Lepisosteus oculatus: one gene and its partner. The protein of the gene in region 1 purifies or fractionates together with the protein of each later gene. This does not show direct contact. Links are inferred from orthologs where the notes say so. Each region holds a gene or a part of one and is shown on either strand. Other genes may lie near its edges.

What was found.
Region 2: the proteins of pus10 (region 1) and abitram purify together in Homo sapiens (affinity purification with mass spectrometry; 3 studies listed by BioGRID and IntAct, counting the BioPlex papers as one, with this or other methods). This does not show direct contact. The link is inferred for Lepisosteus oculatus from reciprocal best matches to the Homo sapiens genes PUS10 and ABITRAM.

Annotation. Positions count from the first base shown.
Region 1 is NC_090712.1:9,897,745-9,904,984, reverse strand, and holds the start of pus10 (tRNA pseudouridine synthase Pus10), read right to left. Parts: upstream 3,263-7,240; 5' UTR 3,154-3,262; intron 3,143-3,153; exon of another isoform or gene 2,984-3,142; intron 2,939-2,983; exon of another isoform or gene 2,917-2,938; intron 2,898-2,916; exon of another isoform or gene 2,593-2,897; intron 2,208-2,592; 5' UTR 2,200-2,207; coding exon 2,074-2,199; intron 1,821-2,073; coding exon 1,566-1,820; intron 1,091-1,565; coding exon 1,004-1,090; intron 1-1,003. Other genes in the region: pex13 (peroxisome biogenesis factor 13), read left to right, coding at 3,684-3,757, 4,291-4,991, 5,308-5,433, 5,638-5,975. UniProt on the Homo sapiens protein: Protein with different functions depending on its subcellular location: involved in miRNA processing in the nucleus and acts as a tRNA pseudouridylate synthase in the cytoplasm.
Region 2 is NC_090705.1:32,604,455-32,612,609, forward strand, and holds the start of abitram (protein Abitram), read right to left. Parts: upstream 3,165-8,155; 5' UTR 3,040-3,164; coding exon 2,970-3,039; intron 2,685-2,969; coding exon 2,633-2,684; intron 994-2,632; coding exon 864-993; intron 386-863; coding exon 309-385; intron 1-308. UniProt on the Homo sapiens protein: Actin-binding protein that regulates actin polymerization, filopodia dynamics and increases the branching of proximal dendrites of developing neurons.

The DNA of each region.
Region 1 (7,240 bases):
TGTGTTTTTAATAAAATAAGACAACACTTTTCTAATAATAAACCACTTAAATTCTTAAAATGACATAATGGTAGTTCTCATGTTTTATAATGAACAAAGATATTTTGAAATGATTTTGTTTATTTTAACATGAATGAAGATAGACCTTTTCACCACACACTTCAAATGGAATAGAAAACAAAACAAGTGTTATCACATTTTCCACTGTTTCCAAGTTCCACCACACAACAGAAAAAAAAGCACACTAAGACTTCAAGAACCTGACTGCTCTCTACTGGAGAACCTTGAAACTGAACAAGAAAAGGTAATCTGGATAATATACTGTACTGATACACATTTAATATGGAAATAAAAACAAAGCTGAATCTGTAACATCATACATTCATGTAATGTCCACAAAATCCCGTCTTTGCCCTACACTTTTCCACAATCAATCAAGTTAATATCCCAACAGAGCTGCGATGGCCTCATTCTCTTTTTGTTTGCAAAGAGTTCTTTTTGAGAATGAACATATTAGACTACATATTCTACCAGTTGACTTGTGATCAACTGGTAGAGATCCCACCTACAGAAAAACAGCATACCAGAAAAGAGATACGTTTCCTTCACAAACCACTATATGTGCCTATTACACATGAGATCAAAGAATCAGGGTATAACAACTCTACCACGTACCACGGCCTGGCCATTCAGTAGATATAAACCTCATACACCTCATGCACATACAGGCAAACATCACTTCTACCCTAGGAATGCATCCCCATAAAACCACCAACACAAAACCCCCTAATACAACTTTTATGCCAAAATGGCAGGACTGGCCATCTACATACAGCACATATAACACAGACTGTAAAACCTCCAAGTATGATTTTTATCTGTCATTAGATTCTTGAACGTAGTTATAGCTTGGACATTGCACAGGCCTTGAGATGCATGAAAATGATCACTCTCTCAGATTGGAGAATGACTAGACAAAGCAGCACAGACAGACAGGACTCACCTCTCTCACGGAGAGCTGGGGTGGAAGAGACACTGACACAACTAGACTGTTGAACTGGTAGCCAGCGGAATCCACTGCCCGGGACATCTATCAGTAGCAATAATGTGAGGGAGGGGTCAACAAAAAAGCATCAAAATACAGGAGCCTACTGAACACCTTTCTTCACTACCAGTTTCGGCTTTTTCACTTTACATTTCACTGTATTCACGATGATTTTAAATTGTCAGCACGTATTTTAGCTTACAAATACAGAACAGTGATTTTTTAAATGCTGTTCTACATCATTTCATTTTTCTCTTTAAAGTCTATTAACCTTGTGATGTTCTTTTATCAGGGGAAAGTGAAGCAGTGCGTCCATCTCAAGTGCATAACAGGAAACTGCAGAGCAGTGTAAGCAATATGATTACAACTTTTTGATTTGTTTCTTATTATCATGGACTTGCTTTATTAAAGAAATATAAGCTTCGCACAACAGGCTTTGTCACAACTTTTCCAAACACTTCTGTTCTTTGTCATTTTACAAAGATTCAGTAAGAAGAATGTAGGATATATCTGAGCTTACTTTTTGGGCAAACTCTTTGTCACAGAAGTCCTGAAGCACTCCCAAACACACCACACAAACGTTTTGCTCATTTTTCTGGGTGTCAAAGCTGTCCCCAGGCAGGGGTATAACAGTTCCCTTTTCACCAGCTACACTGATCTCTGCTCCCTCCAGCTTAATTCTTTTACAAGGGGGGTCCTCCTCTTCTTCTGCTGCAGCAGTAGGGTTACTACTTTCATCTGGTTTGGCAAAACGGTGCAGTTCATCCTCCAGAATCTGCAGGGAATAAATAAGAAGTCTTTATGCCACTAGACACAGCTGCACCTTGAAGAAAAAGCACTTGGATCTAGATCAGGCATTTCCATTTTGACAACAAGGATTATTTTAGACTAAAATAATCAAAAAATGCTAATTAAATTTAAATTAAAATGCCAAAAAAATGTTCTTGCAAAGTTAAGATATGGTAGATTGAACTGAATAAAACTGAGAAGATCAAGAGTGTAACTATAAAAAAGAGCAACAGCAATACCTGATATGGCTGTCTGTAGGCAGACTGCAGACCCACACAACAGAATCGAAGCACACAACGTGGGCAACAGCCTGCTTTCAGCAGAGTCTGTACAATTGTCCTGTCCTTCTCCTTAAGGGGCAACATAGCTCTGACTGTAAACACAAGGAAGAATGGAAAATGCAGTCGATTTCAGAGTAAAACAGACCAGGTAATGCTTTTCTTACCATCACAGCATCACATAGTCCAAACATATCAGGAGATCTACTGATCTTGAATTGAAAAGTTACGGTTTCATCATCCTATCACATATTTCCTATCTTAATTACAACTGGGTTATACCTGGAGGTACCTTAGCTAACAATATCTAGACTAGTCCGTTTTATTTGGACGTTCTGCGTATGATTAAAATCTCTCCACCTTTGTCGTGTCATTCTGACATGTACTGTAAACACGTTCTTCCACCTATTACCAGTTGACTTTACCTGACTTAAAAATTATTAAATATTTTGTCAGTCCTGCTTATTCTCGGTTCAGTACCTGTCCACGGCTTTGTCTATGACTGGGTTTACAGAGGACAGCCAGTACATCAGCACATGATGTAAGCAACCGTAAACAGAATTCTTAGCGGACGAAACAGGACATTATTCACCTAAGCATATCCACATCACGCATCTTTACCAACAATTATATTTTTCTTAATGTATACAAATAATACATCAATCTGGCTTACAAAATAATGATATAGCAAGGTTTATCACTTTTTATCACTTTTAATTTGATTTATACATTGACCATTGCAATGACTGCAATGTCTCAGTAAGTTTAACTCGGCTTAGTTTTTTTTTTTGGTCCTGTTCGTACAATAAAGTTAATGGTCGCCAAGTTGATGTTGGACAGCAAACAGGATGTCCTAATGTAGCGTGATTACCCAACGTGCTGCTGCTATTGCACTCCTACTATTTCAAAGAAACATTAATTTCTGTAGATAAAAGAAAGCACACATGAATATTACAACAAAACAGAACAGCCTCAATAATTAAAACTTCCTATATGCATTCAATTGAGGTTGCACGAAAACAAAGCACATTCCGTACGTACGTGCTTTCTACACATCCCCGAGCTCTTCCACGTCCCCTGCGTCAGTAGGCACGATTAATTGTTCTCCGAACAGTAGATCTACAGCATGAGCACTCGCTTTAGATGCCAACCTGGTGTAGATTTAAGGCAAAAAAATTACAAAAGTAAATATATTAGATTATTAATTCTAAGGCACAAACACGTCCTTGTGAATTAGCACAAAACCTCGAAGTTCTAGGAATCAAGCCCAAATGGTTCATATCTAATTCAACAAAAACATCGATGTATTTGACAAGAAATATATATATTTTTTAGTTAGTGATTACAAATCGTTGTGTTTTCCTCTGAAATACATTTCGAGTGTATGTCGCACTCGTATTACAGTTTCACATTCAGGCTCATACTTTTCATCCTAATTCAATACCTTCGTCCTTTGCTGCGATCCATTATTAAGGTCTAGGACAGGACCAGTGTGACGGGCTGGATTCTGAACTGTGAACTGGGTAGGAACTGTAGAAAACAGGGTAACCGTTTTGGGGGGATTTTAAAGGATGGCATCGCAGCCTCCCCCGAAACCCTGGGAAAGACGGATTCCAGGTGCCATTTCTACTCCAGCTGCCTTTCAGTGAGTAAAAACGTTGTCTTTTTGGCAATGCTGTGTTTAATTGTTGCTTAGGCCTGCAGTGGCTCTTCAGATGCCTGCACTTTTTACAGGCTTATTATTAATGTACATGTAGATAACAAAGATAAGCAAACTGGCGCATATCACTTATATCATCAATCTGAATACAAATTTAAACAACTATGTACAATGAAAAATCCCTGAAAAATGGCAAAAGCATTCATAGTTTTACTGTTCAGTCAAAACAGCTGCGATTGTGTAATTAGCTTTACCAGAAAGACGTTAAAAACAGTGGAAGATTTTAAAAAGTCGAAGACGAACTTTTGCTCAGCTCAGATGTGTAGTTACCGCAGTCCTCTGAACACTTTCAATTTTTCTTTTGTTCGGTTTAGCTTTCAGCAGAGAGCAGAAAAGAATGAGATGCGTTCTGTGCAGCATACAATGCAAGCGAAGATCGACAAATATGACATGTTTGCTGAGGTATTTTAATCTACGCGCGTGTGTAAACCTAAATGGGGCCTGCTTTCAATGAACAGGTCAACGGAATTTGGGTCCACTGGCCTGTCAAGACCGGGCCCTCCTGTCCTGACCAGAGTTCCACCTCCCGTTCCCCCAAGACCATCTCAGCAGGATCGTGGCAACAGTCTGACAGCCTACCGACCAGCATACAGCTCCTTCTCCTCTTCCTACAGCCCCTATGGAGGCTCAGTATATGGGGGCTACAGCCCATACAGCTACGGCTATGGGGGTGGGCTGGGATACAACAGGTTCCGTGCGGACGAAGCTCCACCCAGCCGATTCGTGCAGCAGGCAGAGGAGAGCAGCCGGGGGGCCTTCCAGTCCATCGAGAGCATCGTCCACGCCTTCTCCTCCGTCAGCATGATGATGGATGCCACGTTCTCCGCCGTCTACAACAGCTTCCGGGCAGTCTTGGATGTGGCAAACCACTTCTCCAGGCTGAAGGTCCACTTCACCAAGGTCTTCTCCGCCTTCGCTCTGGTGCGCACCCTGCGGTACCTCTACAGGCGGCTGCAGAGGATGCTGGGACTGCGCAGGGCGTCCGAGGCGGAGGACCTGTGGGCGGACAGCGCTGGCGTAGTGGTTGAGGCTGGAGCTGAAGACAGAGCTGCCAGCTCTGTCAAGTCTTGGCCTATATTCCTTTTCTTTGCTGTCATCCTTGGAGGACCTTACCTGATTTGGAAACTGCTGAGTTCAACTGTTGGGGCAGAAGAAACTGGTGAGTCCCTTTCGAGACAACAATATAGTCATGTATGGAAGAAGAAAACTCACCAGGAAGGAAATACACAGGTTGGAATATATTAGAAATAGGGTTTGATTGTTTTGTTTACCATTATATTAAGACACAGCCTATCCCTTCCATGGTGAAAAACAACAGCAGTGATCTTCATTTGCTACTTACTGTCAGTACAGTGTTGGTCTGTTTAAAACTATTGTCTGAAAGTATGTCTGATACAGCAGAGTTTAAGTGTATATTATAGTGTCTGTTATAGTTGAGTATAATCGCTTTTAACCATAATTGTTTGAACCCAAAGCATCCACAAACTGGGCAAATGGCGACGATGACCACGTGGTGGCAAGGGCAGAATATGACTTCACAGCTGCCTCGGAGGAAGAAATTTCTATTCGTGCCGGGGATATGTTGAACTTGGCACCTAAGGGTAAGGATGTGATCCATTTATTTTAAATTACATTCCCATGTCCAAAGTGCGATTCTGCATAATTAAGTCCCAGTTTTATAGACTTTTAAAGATATGCTGCAGAACGTTGGCATGGTTTTAAGAGGGACATGACTGCTGTCTCATTTGTTTGTTGCGCACATACTTTTCCACAAACATTAATTATAGTGTTTTTATTCCTGGCAGAACAACAGCCTAGGGTACGGGGATGGCTTTTGGCCAGTTTGGATGGTCAGGGTACAGGACTCGTCCCAGCCAACTACGTTAAAATTCTCGGCAAAAGGAGAGGCAGGAAGCAAGCAGAACTGGAGAGAATTGCAGAGCAGCAGCCAGGGTCGGCCAGCACACAACAAGCACTGGGAGCTGGGGCAGCTGGGGCAGCTGGGGCAGCGGCGGCAGCGCCAGAGACCCTTTCAAACCCCGAGGATGTGTTCGAGTCCGTGTTCACGGGAACACCGGGAAATCCCGAGAGGAAGCCCTCTTCCAGTGCTGCTATCGTTATTCCTGAGAAAATAGATCTGTGAAATTTGTACTATTTCTGTGAACATTTTTTGGGGGGGAATTTGATTTTAAAACCAATTCCCTACACATCACTGGTCAAGAAAGGGGAGAAACTGAAAACGTTCTATGTCCTCAGGCTGCTCAGATTACCAGATGACCCACTGTCCGTTTCGTCACTTCACTGACAAGTGAATGCAGCAATTATCACAGGAAGCTAAAAGCCATTTCAAGACAAATTAAATATGTTGTCTGGAAACTTTGGGTGACCCCCAGTCTCCTGTGTCCGATGAGATAATAAATATCCTTGGTTTTCTTTTAATGATGACACTGGCAGAAAACCTCTTGCTGGTTGCATTTTGTAGTCATAATGATTGAAGGCCATTAAATTATGCCAGTGTATTTTTAATAACATTGGACATTCTAGACGCATTTAAGATTAACAGGTTGCCAGAAGCTGTTCACTTGCATATAACTTTGATTGTTTGGCCATAGGTTTAAATTTGAAACTGAAAAGAGAAAGTTTTAGAAAATGGATAAGTGGAAAATAAGTGAATTGTTCTTTTTTTTATAAAGATGGGATAATGCTGAGTTTTTTTGTTCTGGTGAAAAGTTTCAATCATTATGTATTAATGACAAAGTATATATTTTTTAACAAAGTCAGCATTTTAGGATGAAAACCAAATCCCAAATAAGAGGGAGAATATCAATTAAAAATATTAAAAATATTAATATATTAAACCTATGTTTTACCATAACAAAGCTATACCTTATTGTTTTCTTTGAAGGGCTTTCATTGTTTTGTCAATCCTTTTTTTAAGCTAAAGAGCTTCACACTGAATTGTTGAATATGACACGAGTAAACATGGAATTTCCTGTTACATGTATTTCATTCGATGCACTGTTGTTTTGACTCATACTGTTGTCTCTTACCTTTGAGAAAAGATCGAAATTGCTCCTGGGTGCCTTTGGGGGGCTTGTGATTTAAAAGGTTAATACAAAGTGTACAGGGGATTTAATTTAGTTTAATTTAGTGTGCAATGATTGGTCAGTTGTGTTTCACACAAAACTATGAAGTAGGCTATTATTACGGAATAACCGAAGCATTCTTAGAATTGTAAAATCTTTTAGTGTATAAAGATTCGCATTATACACTAAAGGTTACTTTACTTGGAAGTTTGGCTTGGTGAAAATCTAAGCTTCCTCTCAAGTATTAGTAATGCTAATTCATTGATGCAGAGGTGTTTGCACATCGTGAATTAAAGTATGCACAAATATTCAAACTTTCCAC
Region 2 (8,155 bases), on another chromosome or scaffold:
GCTTCAAAAATAAAGTCGCTACTCACAAAGTAATGCTAACTGCAGTTCAGTTGGAGATATACCAATAAAACATTTAGATATAAAATAGGTTCCAAAATTCAGGAATAATGCTCTTCTCACCATTGAATTTCTTAACAATACTCTAAAATATGAAAATAATTGTAGTCAGAAGTGTGGTTTGTAACTAATTTACATTTCTGAAACTCAAAGGCATTCGCTGCAGGCATCGTGTACATGCAAGACACGAGAACCGAGGATATGAAGAAGATTAAAATTAAGGAAATGTGACATCTTTGTACATGTCTTACCTAAAAATAGTATATTCTTCTCCATCTGTGCATGTTATTCTACAAAGAGGCGCAAGCTCCGTGAGAAACTGTCCACCCTAGAAAATGAAATAAAGGGATAAAACATTTTATTACAAGGGCAGTAGTGGGATGAAATAATTTACGTTTTAAATATACAGAAATATATATATTGCTCACACATACTTCTTCAAATGATATCTCTGCTGTTTAGTAGCTGTATTACTTCGTACACCCCTTTCAACATGCTTATGGCTTGTAATGATATTTGTAATTTGGGAACATTTTCAAACTAAAATTGATGTTATCCCCCCATGATTTTAAAACAATTTTTACCTTGTACCTCGGTAGTATCGGAGAAATTATTGACTCAATACTTGATGTAATTTACATTTAACCAGCAGCACGCGATACAGTAGGCTAATGCTTTCAGTCAGTGTAATAAGCCTCCATCACCTAACAAACAACACTGAGAGGACTGTCACAAGTATCACCAAACTGGAAAGAAGGAGCTTGTTCATGCATGTCATATGCTGTATACAGAGGCTTGAGAAATACCCTTTTTGATTTCCCCGACACTTTGTTCTGAAGTCGGCTGCAGTTGGCACTGATCTGGTAATTGATGCTCTTGATTTTTTTCCCATGTTGTAAAATGGGATGTGATTCCGCAAGTGTGACGACACAGATTCTGCACACAAAAAAAAAAGAAAAGACAAGCACCACACTTAGAGCCACCAAACTAAAGAAGAACGGTGAAAGGGTTTTCTGGCAGGTTATGAACTTGGGGTGCAAATCAGATGCAGTCTGAATCCCTGACTGCAGTGTGGATACAGCTTTCGAGACGCATCCAATCAATAAGGAAACTTTAACAGCAGCAATGGAAATTAATCTTTTTATCATTAAGCTCATGAAGACAAATGGAGACTATTATTTAATGCGGAAATGCAGAATGAGAGAGATACAAGAAGCTAATCCTTTCTGTTTGTGGATCTGTCTAATCCCACCTAAAAGTCAATTTTATACATTTTTTTTAAGTGGGAAATGTTTTTCTACCGAATATTTCATATTTGAACAGATTGTACGTAACATCGGCGTTGCTACAAGGGCTTCTTGGATTTTTAGATCATTCTAGAATGTGTCACAAAGTAAGCCCTGCAGCTTCATAAAAAACAGCTGTCCAAATACATTTCATTCATTTAAACATGGCTGACAGTCAGCCATTTTCACCTTTCACAACATTTCTGTGGTTGACAATTTTGACAAGTTAAAATGCCTTAATGCAGACTTCAATACCACCCACATCAACGACCTTATTCACAGACTACATTCTTCCCCAACTCTAAATGTCAGAAAGTCTTTGGACAACTAGAAACTAACAAATCTAGGTGTTAATGTTTTTTTAATTATGTTTGAAGTAAACCACTTTATTTCCAAACGACTGAAAGTGGCTACTTAATATTAAGGTTGTCATAGAAACAGTTGGTTCCCAAGCAGTACTTAAGCTAATTAGAAAACAGCACGCTTGTTCTGCAGATCTGCATGTAAAGTCCCCAATAGAACACATTTAATGTCAGAAGGCATTTGATACAAAGGATATGCTAAAGTAATCTAATACCAACTTAATAATAAGCTTAGGTTAATTTTTTTTATTACAAGTGTATTTTATTTGATCCTTATAACGGAATGTCCTCTTTCAATATGCAGCCAGGAACTTAAGGAGAGGATATTTCTACCAAACAGCCTCAGTGCAAACGTAAAATTTTCTTATCGTACCATTTTAAGTCATTTTTTGAAGGTTAAAAAAGGATATTTACAAAACAACCGATCTTTATTTTCTACACATAAAGATTTTTGGGGGGTATAGTAAAAAATATGAAAACATCTCCTATGCAACAACAATCCAGTACAAACAGCACTGGATATTCAAGGTGAAAGATGCTTTAAAAAATCCCTTTTTGAGTATTATATGTGTATTTTTGTATCAGAGCATGTGTGCATCTTGTAGAACTAACCTGAATCACAAACAAAGCTCAGATGAATCTTAGAACAAACACAATTTCAAACATGATATAAAAAGGGCAAGACCACTGCACTGTTATAAATGTATATAATTTTAGATAAGCGTTAATAGGTTTATATACACTTCAGCTAAATAAAGTTTTTATTTCTACAACATTTTATTCTCAGGTCTTTTAGGTTTTGTTATTTTTTATCCAAAAATCGCAAAGGGGAGCTAAAGTATTTATTATTAATAACTAAGCAATTGGTTACACTACAAATTGTTTCTGTAAATTAAACATCAATTAAAAAATAATTTCTGTACTTACCTATTGGAATGTTGCAGAATGCAGTGGTCCTCACACGGTTTATTCTTCAAATCTTGATTATAAAAAGTCGTAATATCATACAAATGTAATGTTAAATATACATTAATAATATAGTAAAATCAAATACAAAGCGTGCAATAACATTAACATTCGACACAACAATCTGTATTATAAATTTAAACTTTGAAATTTACATATAATTTTTCCTAAATTATTTCTCTCTCCATGTACCTTATTTATTAAGGCAAAATTTCAAAAAGGGTTAAAATCTGTGTAAATACTTAAGTTGCTCTCTCGTTTAAGAACAGTTTAAATGGACAAGAACTAATTTACGTACCTGTTTTATACCATCGGGTAAAATACCGATCAATAACAGAAGGAGTTCCGTCATTATTCCCACCTTCCATCGATAAAGATAAACAATCTGGATTACTTTAAAGTAATTTGATTTTATATACAGCACAAAATTGTGTTACAATATTTCAACAATGGGACTCGAAACACTGTCACACCACAAATGTGATTTCTTCCGTACGCCAGTAAATATTTCCGAGTGCCTCACGAACTGCGCAGATTCGTTCCTTTTGAGTTAATGCACAAGCTCTCGGTGTATTACTGACACCTACTGTATCTATGTAAAATGCAAAAAGTGACATTAAGAAAATTCTGACATAATGATTGACAACTAGTCCAGTTGACCTAAAAATGAAAGAAAAATTTTATATCTTTTCCCTACATTTACATAAAACATAATCCAGAAAATTAATTTCAAAAACACTTTCTATCCACAACACCATACCCTAGATCTGTTTCAGAATTCCTTATAATGCTTTTCAATCCGTTGATGAAAGATAATCAGAATTCCTTTCATCTATCTTGTATATTTCATATCATAGGGTCGCAAAGATTTATCTCTCAAGTCAGCACCAAACTGGGTGACACAGGATTGCCTTTATGTGCTAACACAGCCACAACACATCACAACAGACAGCAGGGAGGGAATGAAAAGTTACTTTTTACGGTTTAAATTAAGGTGGAGTTTCTGGAAGGCCAGATTGTACTAAAGTTCTGAATATAATTTACACCTGGGTTACGCTGATGCCTTTCAAAAAGTGACACAGGAATTTAATTAACCAATTATTCAGAACCTTGGTTCAATCTCAACTAAAATACAGAGCCTCCCAATATCCCAGTTCCTGGTAAATGCACACTTGACAATATTTTACCTGATTTTGTGTGCTTTAGAACCACGGGTATATGCAGTTTCTGAAGGTACATGAAAATCCATCCATCTTCAGATCACTTCATCCAACGAAGGAGATGGATCCTAACCTGCGAAGCAACAGGCTCAAGACAGGATAGACTTACACAGGATGCCACTCCATTGTAGGGCAGTCACACAAACAACTGGGCCAGTTTTCCCTGAAGCCAATTAACCTACCAGTATGTCTTCAGAAGGTGGGAGGAAATGGGAGTACCAGGAGGGAACCCACACAAACACACAGAGAAGATACAAACTGCACACAGATAGCAGCCCAGGTCAGGAAGTGTGAGTCAACAACGCAAACTACTGCACCACCATACTGCTACCCATACACATACGTAAACACGTCTAAATATATTTTACAATAACCTGAATTTCACTAGGAATAACAACACCCTGCACCATCGAGAGCGCCCTCACCAATGGGATCAATGTGTGGTACAGCAACACCTCTTCTCGAGAGAGAAAGGCACTGCAGAGAATGGTGAATGTGGCCCAGAAGATCATCCGTTGACTTCTCACAGAGTTTAAACAGCTCTATGAGGACCGCTGCCGTGGTAGAATTCTGGCCATCACAGAGGACAGTCACCACCCCAGGCATGAGCTCTTCACCCCACTGCCCTCAGGCAAGAGATACAAGAGCATATAGACACTTACCACCAGATTCTTCAATTGCTTCTACCCACAAGCAGTGCAATTGGTGAAGACATTTGGCCATGCCCCTTGGACCACATCTACACCATCTATCTCATTATAATTTCTTATTTATTGCTCAACTGCAGTCATTTTTTACATGTCTGCATTGTTTACATTCAAACTGTTTACTTGTTTACTTGTACATCATCTACTGTTTGTTTGTATGTTGTCTTGATGCACTGTCTGCACTTTGTATTTTTACACTTTTTTAACAATTGAGAGACTTTTTGTAAGTAAGAATTCCATTGTACCAGTACATGTACTGGTTACACATGGCAATAAAGTTCAAGTTCAAGTTGAACCCTAGAATTAAGTGTACTGTAGGATTATCGAGTGGTTTAGTAAAAATTTGGCTCAACCCACCTGGTTGAGGACTAAGCTTGTGGCCATAGGGAATCTGGAAGGCTAAGTGTTTTGATTCCTCTTTCTTCTTAAAGTGTGTGAATTTGTTTTATATTATTAAATATTACTACTGTTAATTCATATTTCTACAACTGCATAAACTTCTTTAGTAGTGTATAAATATTTATGCACAAACTTTATGGACTGTAAATAATAATTAGTTATATAATAAATACAGATTAACATTTCCTTTAATAATGTATTAAGGAATTGCTCCCATTTGCATTTAGGTGTTGTTACCTCACGACAATCTGCGTACATAAAATCAAAGGTACGATTTGCACATGATTGCATAGCTGTCATCATTGTTCAGGTCTGGTATCAGCATGATTTACCTTGGTAAATAAAAAAAGGTCTAGACAAATTTTGCACCAACTTATAAATAAACAAAATTAATGACGTTCTTGGATACAAAACACGGAAAACCATGATGTTTAATTTATCCTGTTTCTAGAATTGACTCTAAACAAATGTCCATAAAGTAATATTTACAGCTTTTGGTTAATCAAAAACCAACTGGAACTGTTTCGTTTTGCTATATTCCAGTTACTATGAGGAGATTTGCTGGCATTGCATAAAATTGGCTATTCTCCACTAGCAGGAATTTGACAGTGTCAGCTAATCTGTCAGGCACTGTCAACTTCAGAATGCCAGGCTTGTGAAATACTGGAAAGAATTACTCTTACCAGAACTACTTAAACTGTTTTTCTCTCTTTGCTGTAATGCATGCATTTTCTGCTAATTAAATTTATATTGTGCTGTCATAAATGCAAGCACTAAAGGACAATGATTGAGTAATCTTTAAAAAAAAGATTTAGAAAACAATTATTAATTTCAAGTATAACCTTATACAGCTGTTTAGTCATAAAATATTAGTTTTCATGTCTGGTGTTCATCTTGTTTGATGCTACATACTGTACATGTGTAGGTAACATACAGTACTGTATATGCCACTAAAATACTGAAATTCCTCATCGTTACTTCTTACCAAAAAAATACAAATTTGTTGTGGACAAATTAATTTTCTCTTTTTATCTGGGTTTATATTTTACAAATAGTTTTCCTGACTGTCATAGATTTTTTAGCAAACAAATAATAAACTTGCATAACTGAGAGAATGAGTGATGGTTCTTTTTTGTCACAGTGGTCACCTAATGCCCTTGATTTAATCATTGAACAAGGTTTTATACACTTTATTAAACATTTTATATTTTTATACTCTTCATGGATATATTGTGTAATCTTGACAGACACAAGAAGACATTTAATATCTGTCAATCATGAACATGTAAAAGAATAAAACCAACAGTCAGAATGGGTGTTCTCAACTAGTAATTCTTTTTATTATTTTTATTTTCTATTAAACCTTTTTCGGAACCCTTTTCCAATGGCCTTGGCAGATATGCTCTAAGTTTGTTCAATGCTAAACTGTCCCAAAATAATCTGATGACAGCTCAGAGATTCTTACTCTAAACTTTAGGCTTGTCCAGGGTGCAGTCTGCCAGCACTAAAGATTAATTTCAATCAACGTAATAGCATGATGTAATCAGTGGTGCCTTTGTTAGCATGCCACCATCTTGTCTCAGAACTCATGGCCAATGTTGTTCCCGTACCAGCGGAGTCCGGGACCTGGAAGCACCTGGTCCCTTCAAGGTTTTAAAGTTCCTGTTCCTGTTCCTGCTGGTTCTGACCCGGTTCTGTCTTGGATGAACCGCCCAGTTCTTGATTTTGCCTTCTCTCAGATTCCCCGTTGGACTCAGTTTTGGACAGTTTGCCTCGGCCACACCTTCCCCGAACACCAGCGCATTATGGACACGCCCCTTGTTTTCATTCCCGACTCCCACATGCTTTTTCCCTGTGTTTTTCCTCACTCTACCCCGGATTGTGTCGTCTGCATAGGGTCCGGAAAGAACGCTTTCATGACAAGGGGTTCTTGCTCGAGATGGACTCGAGATGGACTCGAGATGGACTCAAGACGGCTAACAGGCCTGTGGGACTCCATAGGTTAGGAAGGCTTGAAGAAGTTACAGCAAATGCTGTTCTGATCAGCCTCACAGATCCTGGGACAGCTGGGCTGCATTGTAGTTTATTTGGTTCATTTGGTCTGCTGATGAACAGAGTTGTTTTGCAGGACCAGAAGTGAAGGGAGGCGATAACTTCACAAGTTAGTGGCATCCCTTCTCCGCACACACAAGAGTGTGGAGTCTAGGCAGCACAGGTTATATCCGAAATACACCCTGTCAATTGAAGGGAGCAGGTGGCTGGGCCGACTGAGCAAGAAGGCAGGGAAATCACGAGCCTGGCTGCTGCTGTGTCGAGGGTCGCCAAGGCTGGTTATAGAGAAACATCCCTTGCCAAAGAGGGTCAGCCGGGAAAAATAGGAGAGAGAGATATTAAGCAGCAGCCAGAATCCTGACCAGGTCAAGTGCAATTGTTCACATTACTCCTATCCTGGAGTCCTTGCACTGGCTTCCGGTCAAATTCCGTGTAGACTTTAAAATCCTCACGCTCACCTATAAGGCTCTGCATGGCTTGGCACCTCTGTACCTGTCTGAACTATTATCACCTTACTCCCCACTTCACAACCTTCACTCTTCTAATTCTGCTCTCCTTACTGTCCCCCAAGCCTGTCTACATTGTATGGGTGACAGGGCCTTCTCCTGTTATGCCCCCAAGCTCTGGAACTCTCTGCCCTGGATATCAGAGAGTCACCTACTCTAAATTCCTTCAAATCCAGACTCAAAACCCTCTTCTTCAGAAAAGCCTTTACTTAACTGGTTCCATTCTTCATCCCTCTGCTTTTCTTAGTATCACCATCCACGGTCTCCTCTGTATATTGTAATTGTGTTTTATCTTGTGTATTCTTCTTATTTATTGTTGTTGTCATCCTGTAAAGCGCTTTGAGAAGCCTCCTTTAAAGGCGCTATATAAAATAAAGTTTATTATTATTATAATTATTATTATATTAAGAGTAAAAAAGAGACAGATAACGTCGAAGACTGTTAGAGTGAGAGATGTGACAGAAGAGCTGGGAATGAGTAAACTGGGTTGAACTGGGTGGCGTGGAGTGGATTGTAATGAATACTACCAGAGATAGTGAAGTGTAAGAGAAATAATTGGGTGCCTTGTAAAAGTATTCACTCAAATGATATCTTTACATT